Linked DNA regions of Bombyx mori. The protein of the gene in region 1 interacts with the protein of each later gene in a pairwise test. Links are inferred from orthologs where the notes say so. Each region holds a gene or a part of one and is shown on either strand. Other genes may lie near its edges.

Region 1 (5,182 bases):
TCAACTCTAAATCATCGCACAGCACCTCGGCAAACTGTTCTGGTGTTATTATTGATTCTGGAAAACAATCCTCCAATTTTTTATTTATTCAAAAACTTGTTAATAGGCTGCCTGCAATCCTTGTGAGAAAAAGCCTCAGACACAGCCCACTGAGTTTCTCGCCGGATCTTCTCAGTGGGTCGCGTTTCCGATCTGGTGGTAGATTCTGCGAAGCACACGGCTCTTGCTAGCGTTCGTGTTAACAACGTCATCACGTTTGAGCCCCGTGAGCTCACCTACTAGTTAAGGCAACGCTGATATAGCCTCTCAAGGCTATCAGCTTAGGCAGGAAAAAAAAGTGGGAACATACACATTATGGATATAAAAATTAAGGAGCGTATTCCTAAATTTATGTAAGGGTTGTGCTAAAAGAACAATATAGAATGAAAACGATAAAACATTAAAAATATTTTAACCAAATTTGCAGGGCGCATTGGAACTGTTCTGTGATCCAAGACAGTTGGACAAGGTCCTCCTGATCTTCAACACTTACTGCAGACCAACAATTTTCATTAAGCATGATTAAAGAACTTTATAAAGAATAGTTATAGTTAAAGATATAAGAAAATGTTATTATATATTTTCAATTGACAGTCGATACAATTCACAGTAAATACAGCCAATCTATTTATAATTTGGTAGACAGCAATTACACATTCTATTATTCAAATACTTTCTGAAATCAAAAATTGAGAATAAACAACCAGAATTGGTAACAAATGCAGTTAAACATACCATTTTTATTCCATGTAAATGTATCCCTGAGTTTTTGACCCTCAATCTCCATGTCCAATCGAATCGGTACAAGCACCTGCTTTTGCGAAGCATTCTCCAGCATTGCAGTCATGTCTGTGTCATCGAAACACAGTGGGAATGTTCTCACCTGAAAAGTATTCATTTTATGCTAGTTTTAATAATGATACTTTAGAACTATAGTATATTACATTAATTCCAATGTTCCATTTCAAAATCTGTTATTTATCTTACGATGTGTCTCTGATTTTGAGATATTCTATCTATCTTATCTATCTATCCTGAATCAGAAGCTAAATTAAATGTGTTGTGTTGACCTTAGAGTGTGGCCCCATGTCAAACATGATTAACTAGATAAACCTAGGAGTCAGAACCTGAAGCCCAACTGGACTTTAAGTTTTGACTTTAACATCCATTTTACCTTCTTATTATGCACCCTACTCCTGCTGATTGGAGTAGCCTGGGGTACAGCATCCAAATGAGAAGAGTTTGGCATGACTGGCAGCCATGATGGAGTGTGTGGCTTCTTGCTTTTGCTCTCACGGGGTGTCGCCAACTCTTGGCTGACGGACACTGCTTTGTATCTATAAATTAATTTAAAGCTGTGTCATAGCTGTAAATAGTTTAATGGACAACTGCTGTTTCATATACAATTCATAGTATTTAAGATTTCCTTGATATGCACACAGCAACTGACCAGAACCGATGGAGACTGGCACAGCTGAAACAGAGTCACAATCCTCAGCAATGAGGGAGCGATGAAGAAGAAAGATATGCACACATTTTGTTTTTTTTTTTATTGTCCTTAAAATAAGACAAACATACAATTCTTCTGATGGTAAGTGGTTAATGTCGTTCGTGGACTTCAATAGTGCCAGGTGCTCACCAAAACTTAAAGGTCTAATATTTCGACTGACTACTTCAGGTAGCTTCACTTATCATCAGATGGATTATGAACTCGTTCACCTGTCTATGCTAACACAGCAATTGTCGGTTTTAACCGCTTTCAATAGTTCACAAAATGTTTATAATGACGTACTTATCATCATTCCCTTCAATAATGTCTTCAACTTCTGACGCCTTCAACAGTGAAACTGAACTGGACAGCACATGAGGACCAAGACCGTTGTCAATTAATCGCTTACGTTCTTCATTGGTGAGGGTACGCCGGCACATGCCAGGGTACTTCTTGTAGAGTGACCCACGGAACAAGCGCAGGTAATTCCCGACCTAAGGCAATAGTTAATTTTTTTGCATTTTTAAGCGGGCATAAGACTAATCAAAATACAAAATCTGGAAATCTCAAGTTAAAACTGCTGTTTTCGACACCACAATATAATTTTGCATTGCTTTTAATTAAAACCACTGTTATTGTTTAATCATTTAAATTTTTTGTCATAACAATTTACAGTAGTTAGAACAGTGTTAATATGCCATGAAAAATGATAATGAAATGAATATAATAAATATGAAATTAGACCTTTTTTTATACAATTCAGAAACACTGAAGAAAATACATCATTGCTCATCTAAAAAAATAAGAGCAGAAACAGCATTGGGTGCCACAACTTGTTTTAATTTGCACTGCAAGCAATCACTGTCGTTTACTTATTCAATATAATTCATAATGGCGCTTTAGAAAGTTCTACTGTAGAATAGAAGATTATAGTGAGAAACTTCACATGAACACTGAATTATGCAACTAGATACAGAAAAAAGATAAAAAGTACAGTATGGTATCTTAAGCCAGTAGTTAAAATGGACTGGTAAACTTTCATGATTTGTATCTCTTTAACTAAAATCTTAGGTTTCTTAGCTAATGATGTTATTGTACATGTATATGTATTTGGGATTTTGTTAAATATGGATCTGTTTACTGGATTACTTACTCGATTATTGCTAAGAAAATGAGTTTTAAAGAATTGTCATTAAAGGGCAACATAATTATTACAGCTCAGTTTTGCCTTCTACAGAAATTCCTTAGTTATTTTATCTCCAAAATTTGTATTCCATTTTCATAAGGGTGATATAGACCTATTGTTCTATTTTTTATCTTATACTTTGATGGACAATAAACTATAGTCTGCTTTACAGTAATGGAAACCAAGCCTCATCGAAATAAGAATAATTCTAAAAGGCAAGTTTGTATAATAGACCAGATTGAGGTTAGGAACGATGTTCTTCGACAAAAGAAAGACTAGCTCCGTTAGTGAATGAAATAATTTTTAATAACGTATCTTTAAAATTATGTTTCGAGTAGTTCGATGTATTTTTAATCAAGAAATGTATGGAACTTACCTCTGAGCCAACACAATAAAAGTCTCCTCCTTCTTCGATTTGAAAACTTATCGGCTTATCGCCGTACGTACGTAAGGCCATTTTTGTAGTTGTGTTGTTCCTTTGATAAAATAATTACATTTACTTCAAGAATTGTAATGTTAATTTGGTAAGGGTAAAATTTATAAATCGTTTCTGTGAATATGTATATATGTATCCAATTATTTTTTTAATTTTATGACCTGGTAACGTACACCTTTAAGTCATATATTATTTTGGAAAGCTACTGGACGTAACTTCTTGGGATTCACCCAAAAGTCCACTGAAAAAATCTCAGTGAATGACCATCATTTTACTGAGATTATATTTCATCCCGTCTCATCTTATTTCCTTTAATTTCATCCCAGTTGATCCCTTTAATATATGTCTCAAATATTAATTTAAATTAATTTGAGACATTCTTGACATCTTCATTTCATTTCATTTCATTTCACTCCATATTATCAGTTTTCATAAAAATAAGAATATAAATTATAATAAGATATAAATTAGAATAAGAAGATTAAAATAAGATAATGACTTAAAGGTCTAGGCTACCAAGTCATAAAATAAAAAAACATTTTATTTGATTTTTTTTAAGAGATTTTATGACCTGGTATCTAAGACCTTTAAGTCATGTCTTATTTTACTTTATATTCTTAATTTTATGAAAAATGATAATATGGAGTGAAATGAAATGAAGATGATTAATTTGAGACATTAATCAACTGGGATGAAATTTAATGAAATGAGATGATATGGGATGAAATACAATCGTAGTAAAATGGTGGTCATTTACTGAGATTTTTTCAATGGACTTTTTGGAGGGACCCGAGAAGTTACGTCCAGCAGCTTTGTTTCATTTTCCCACATTTGTGCACTTTCACAGATATTAAACAGTTAATAAACCACCGTTATTACACATTTAAACCTGAAGAAACACTAAATAGACAAAATAAAACAAATCACACAACTTCACTCCTCGCGTTCCCGCCAAAAAGTCCTATTTTAATTGATTTTTTTTTTTTTAAGAGATTTTATGACCTGGTAACTAAGACCTTTAAGTCATGTCTTATTTTACTTTATAGTCTTAATTTTATGAAAAATGATAATATGGAGTGAAATGAAATGAAGATGATTAATTTGAGACATTAATCAACTGGGATGAATTTAATGAAATGAGATGATATGGGATGAAATATAATCGCAGTAAAATGGTGGTCATTTACTGAGATTTTTTCAGTGGACTTTTTGGAGGAACCCGAGAAGTTACGTCCAGCAGCTTTGTTTCATTTTCCCACATTTGTGCACTTTCACAGATATTAAACAGTTAATAAACCACCGTTATTACACATTTAAACCTGAAGAAACACTAAATAGACAAAATAAAACAAATCACACAACTTCACTCCTCGCGTTCCCGCCAAAAAGTAATTTAGTTCATAGACTATACACAAACACATATTGTTAGCATAGAGTATGATTGTATATAACTAATATAACCTAAATTTTTAGTCTGAAATTAAATGTCGTAGGGGAGTGTCGTCGCAGTCGTTGCGAATTTCAAAAGTGCTCGAAAAAAGAGACCATGTCTTCACGGCAAGGAACATTCAAAAACCCATTCTCCAGACCGTGGATGTCGGAGACAGGTGCAGCGGCTGCGGCTGGTGGTTCGGGTTCAGTAGGCTTAAAGGGAGTTGTAGCCGGCGGAATTACAGGAGGCATTGAAATTTGTATTACATTCCCAACAGAATATGTAAAAACACAACTGCAATTGGATGAAAAAGGTAAATAAAGCACGCCACAATTATCCGAACTAAGTTAGTTAACTAATTGGTGTTTTTCAATTCATAAATTCATTCAAATTTTATTTTTGTCTTATGATTTTGTATATACGTCATACGTAATTTTCCTGCTGTAGCGTAAATCTGTAGTTGAATAATTATGAATAAAGGGTTCTTTAGCACAGGAATTCAAGTTGTAACTAATCAACGTCTTTTTTAACCTTAAAATTTAAAACCAAAGGTTTCCATTACAAGTACATTTTACTGTGTAAACAACTGGAAATGGACTT
Region 2 (5,111 bases), on another chromosome or scaffold:
CCTGTGAAGGTAAATCAAAGCACCTATTTATTACTAACTTCTGTGTGTTATTAATAAATAGGTGCTTTAATTTACAAATGCAAGAACAATATAAAGGTATTCTGAATCAATCAATACAATATTTCAATATTTATACATAAAATATAAATACATACGTACATAATTTTTTCATTTTTGAGGAACACTCAATATTGAGGTACAAAGCTAGATTCATACAATCATTGCACTACACCCACATAATTTGTGTAAAAACTCTAATTTTAGGGAATATTCCTTTACAGTACTTTTTTTTTATTGCCGTATATGCAGACGAGCATGCGGCCCACCTGATGGTGAGTGGTTACCGTCGCTCATGGACGTCAGCAATGCCAGGGGCACAGCCAAGCCGCTACCTACCGTTTAATACTTTCCACAAGCCTCGTTTGAAGAAGGACATCGTCTGACAATGATAATATTCTCCAAGATAATAATAGTTAGTAATCAACAATACCTACCTCGAGAAAATCAGTCATTCCCGAAATCGTTTTTATTCATAATGAGAACATTCGTTTTTTCAACAATTATTTTTTATATTTTTTGGGGTGTTATCTCCAGACAATGATTTTCAACAAAATATTGGTAATAATTGAGATACCGAGTTATTTATCGCACAAGCTGTGTCCTTAATTAGATTAATTGTCTATGATTAACGAGCTGTATACTGTTAAAATCAATAGTGGTCATTACATGTATTGGGAGTTACTGTCATAAAGTGGGTACAATATTTCATGACGTCAACGAAACATTCAACAGAGATAGCGCTATACTGCGCACGCAGCGCACTGAGAACTTCTCGAAAATTTTCCTCGTACTAACAAAATCATCTTTAAAATAGAGGTTGCTTAGTTATTCCACCACTATTTTTTCTTAATTCATAAAGTTGCTTTTTTGATGATCTTTGGTGTTTCGTTGAAAGTAATAAATAATTAAGAATGGGAAATATCCGTATTCCGGCGATCAATCTCATCAGGATCATGTTTTTGTAATGTATTTTTTTTGTGAATTGTATTTCGTGTGGCCATTTACGAGAACAAGGCTTCGGTTTTGTTAACTCAAAATTTAGTCAAACTAGATTAAGACCAGAAGACAGGATTGTGAATTCTTCTTAATTGATGTTAAAATTTTGAAAAATAAGGTAGGTATACTGCAATTAGGGTTAGATCATTACAGCATGTCGGTACTTTATAACATGTAAAAATTGTTGATAATATCAGAAATCTGCCAAAGAAAAAAAAATTATTACATGTAAAGCTAGTGAAATAGCGTACAGAGAAGCTTATTTCCATCCAATACGCATAGAAATGATATCTGAAAGAAAACGCACCGTATTTGTAGTAGCTGGTACCAGGTAAAACTGGTAGACTCTAGTGATATACAGATAAAGCAGTGATATCATCTCCAATAGCTCTAGAAGTATTATCTCCAATAATTCTTCGAAAATCCAAGCGTGGAAGAGGCGGTGGGATTCAGAAAAAAAAATTACTCCTTAACGGAAAATATACTATGCCATTTATTTCATCTTTTTTGTTTCGCTTTTTTTTTCTAATAAATGTCTTTATTTATGAACGTCCTACCAATATACACAAAACAAAGCGTTATTGTTCTTCTATTCTATTCTGTTATTGTGTTTCTACATTTAAAATAAGAAAACGTACGTACCTAATTCAAAAAATGTTTAAACGTTATTTTTGTGTCGGTTTAGATATTGTAATATGTGTAGTTCAATCGTATATTTTAATATATTTATTTTTTCTTCTAAAAATCGGTATGTGTAAATGGACAGACGGTCGCGGGCCACATTTTGTGCCTCCCGAAGCTAGCATGTAAATTTCACCACACCGTGATGATCAGATTCCAAAGTACGATTTTTGAGAGTATCAACTTTCCAACCATCAAAAATGAACTCAAAATAAAAGAATGTTTGAACGTTTTTTAATCACGTTTGTGGAACGTCTACAAAATATACGGTTTTTTTTTCTTCAAAATATTACTAGGCTTTTTTGTTTTTAATCAGAAAGGCCTCAATGGAGGTTGTATTTATAGATATATTGATTACTTCTATTTATAAATATAGAACGCCCACACGTGAATTCAGGTGAACCCGCGAATGGGAGCTCAATTTATACTGGTTTTACTTGTTTAAAAAAGGTTGTAAAATGGTTTTACTATGTACTGCCTGCCGTTATCGCAGCGATGAAAAATCTATACTAGTTTAGATTAAGTATAATCAATTTTATAAGGCATGAACGTTCATCGAAATCGGTAACTTTTGCAAATTCCTTTATGCAAGAAGAACAATAGACTATAGTCTCAAGTAAGTACTAGTACCCGTTATCACGTTTCCGGACTAATAAAACTAAATTTAATATATTTATATAATTTAATGTATAGTGCATTAATATTACTTTAGAGAAAGCTTTTGTAGGCATCTCAAAAATGACACGGTGAAAGGGACACTATCTTCATGGTATGGCGACGCGGAGTCTCTTTAATGTTTCGACCCCAGATAAGTTATGTGCGTACGGTTTAAAAATAAATTGATAAATTAGGAATGCAATCTTTGTGTCACTTCATGCAAGGGAAAACAAGAAAAACCAGTCTGCGGCTATAAAATAAACTTCGAAAGTAAATAAATATACATTCGCTAAGCAAACTTCGCCAAATTTAGCCAAGTTAAAATATAAATTAAAAAACAAAGTAAACTTTCGGAGGGGTGGGTCATCTCAAAAGGGCCAATCTACAGCGCAGCTTAAAATATTGGTTTGGGGAAAGCAGGAAATGATCTACGAAAGGAAAATAATAATTATTAATAAGTAACAAAAATGCAACTTACCTCGTACTTAATGCCGGCCAAACGAAGCCATGTTTCAACTTTTAAGCAATATGGGGATGTCGACGGTAACAAAGGAGTGCGCGAAAATTGATAGAGATATACTACGTCTTTCTCAAAATTTGTTTTATGGACTGTTGGTTTCGGCTGAGCTGGTTCGGATTTTTTCTCTTCAGATTTTTCATCGCCTTTCTCATCAGGTAATGGAGCCTCTTTGGATTGGCCATTATCGGCCGGCGCGTCCTCTTTCATGTCTTTCTCTTTCTCAGGAGCGTTTTCAGGGATGTTATTCGTAACTTCAACAGTCATGTTTGAATTAAATTTGTTTTGTAATTGGAATCAGCACAGTTATTAACACGAATCGCAAGCCTAACGATCACCGCCGTTAGAGCGCGAAGCAACAACCGAACTGCCTGCCGGCTGCTCCTGTCTGGGGTCTGCTCTACAATAATTTGTTTCAAGCAAACTAAATGAAGCCACGCGCAGCGTCGCCGAGTTCGAACGTCGTGTGGTTTCGTGTTCGCCGGGCTTGGGCCACGATTCAGCTACATAGCTGGTTGCTTAGCAACATCCTTGCCAGATATTTAAAGTTATCCGTATATTCACGGTTTTTTTTTAGATGAGAATTCAAAACAATTATGTAATGCTAATGCATAAGTTTTGTCGTAGATTTAAATCTACTAATTAACTAATTTAAATACGAAAATGTTATTTATATTATGCCATATTTTTCCTATAAAATAAAAAATCACGGGGAAAGAAACGTTTGAAACCATAAACTTTATGTTAACGTAAAGTTACAAACCAAATTCAACACTTCCGAGAAAGAATTATTTTCGAAGAGACAAAAATATGTACACCTGAATCCATTTTGTCAAATACTCCCTACCACTGGGATTCGAACTAAGACTAAAGTGATACGTAAAATCAAGCCAGTTTCAGTAATAGTACAATATAAAGGTCTTTGACTCAGATTTTTGTAATCACCTTGCAATTTACAGATTTTTCTAGAATCTTCGCTTGATGAATTAAGAAATATAACTCTACTGATTTTTAATGCAATAAGCGAGCATTTTTAGTACACGATTTCATTAATTCGTCTAAACACCACAGGTTTTAAATCGAAGCGCAGTAAGAGATACCAAAACTTATTAACTGAAAATACCAACCGAAGTATAAAATTAATAAAAGTTAAACTATCAATTATTGTCTATGTTTATGAAAACATATGAATTAGCTGTTTTATAATTTGATGTTTTTTTTAGAACAATCTTCCTATTATTATTAAAGTATTGTGAATAAAGAATTTCACCAAGGTAATAAGTTTAATTTTATGGTATTCAGAATACATCTTATTAAAGCCGTCACCACAATTTGAAACTCCGTATCTTACAACATTGTAAAATATATGTCACGGAACTTTTTGGCGGCAATTTGAAAATACCTATTTTAACATCAATATAATTTGGGTAGTCAAGCATAAAGGTGATTTAGTGGATTTTTAAACATGAATTAATGACAAATTGCCCTACTTTGCAGAAGTGGTACAATTTTGTTTTGTTGGATATTAATTGATACATTTTTGCGTCTCGATAGTTTCCCGCCATTTTATTGAAAATATTACCGAATATCACCTTAAAATTTTTTGGATAAGAAACGACAAACGCCACAATTTCAAAAAGAAAACTTTAGATTACTTCTGAGTTTCTTTACTTCTGAGTTTGACTTTTCCATGGCCTACTTACTTATTATAGAACTACTATAGTACAAAATAGTTTTATGTAAATATAATATGTAGGTTATTTCATGGTTTTGGTATAAATTATATGGTATGTGCCCTTTTTTACAATACTTTGAGTATAATGGGTACATTCTCAACCCACTATTTTCTGCTAAGAGCAGATTAATTTATTTACAGCAGTCATGAACATGATGAAAAGAGGTTGCGTACACTTTTCTTAAAATAGAATTAAATTCTGAAACATGGCAAAATATAATTATCATTTTAATAAACACTAAAACAGCTTGTTTTTTATGTAATATTTTGTTTAAGACGTAATGGAGTATGTCATGCCTATGAACTGAAAGCAGTGGTTTCGTTTTTACTGTTATTCTGAGTAGGTAGTAATTTACTATAGTAGAATTATTTTGTCCGTGCAGTTTGGGTCATAAAACATAGGCCGACTAGGGCGGTGAGAAAGTTGCGCGGGCGCAACGCCATTATCGATAAAAATAAATGAGT

Evidence for each region. The genes of interacting proteins can lie anywhere in the genome.
Region 2: the proteins of SWI/SNF-related matrix-associated actin-dependent regulator of chromatin subfamily B member 1-A (region 1) and failed axon connections interact in a two-hybrid assay, tested with the Drosophila melanogaster proteins (2 studies listed by BioGRID). The link is inferred for Bombyx mori from reciprocal best matches to the Drosophila melanogaster genes Snr1 and fax.

The regions. Positions count from the first base shown.
Region 1 is NC_085122.1:12,050,658-12,055,839, forward strand, and holds the start of SWI/SNF-related matrix-associated actin-dependent regulator of chromatin subfamily B member 1-A, read right to left. Parts: upstream 3,347-5,182; 5' UTR 3,172-3,346; coding exon 3,091-3,171; intron 2,023-3,090; coding exon 1,832-2,022; intron 1,377-1,831; coding exon 1,214-1,376; intron 923-1,213; coding exon 775-922; intron 58-774; coding exon 1-57. Other genes in the region: putative tricarboxylate transport protein, mitochondrial, read left to right, coding at 4,697-4,895.
Region 2 is NC_085107.1:8,812,827-8,817,937, forward strand, and holds the start of failed axon connections, read right to left. Parts: upstream 3,420-5,111; 5' UTR 3,179-3,419; coding exon 2,873-3,178; intron 1-2,872. UniProt on the Drosophila melanogaster protein: Together with Abl, involved in embryonic axonal development.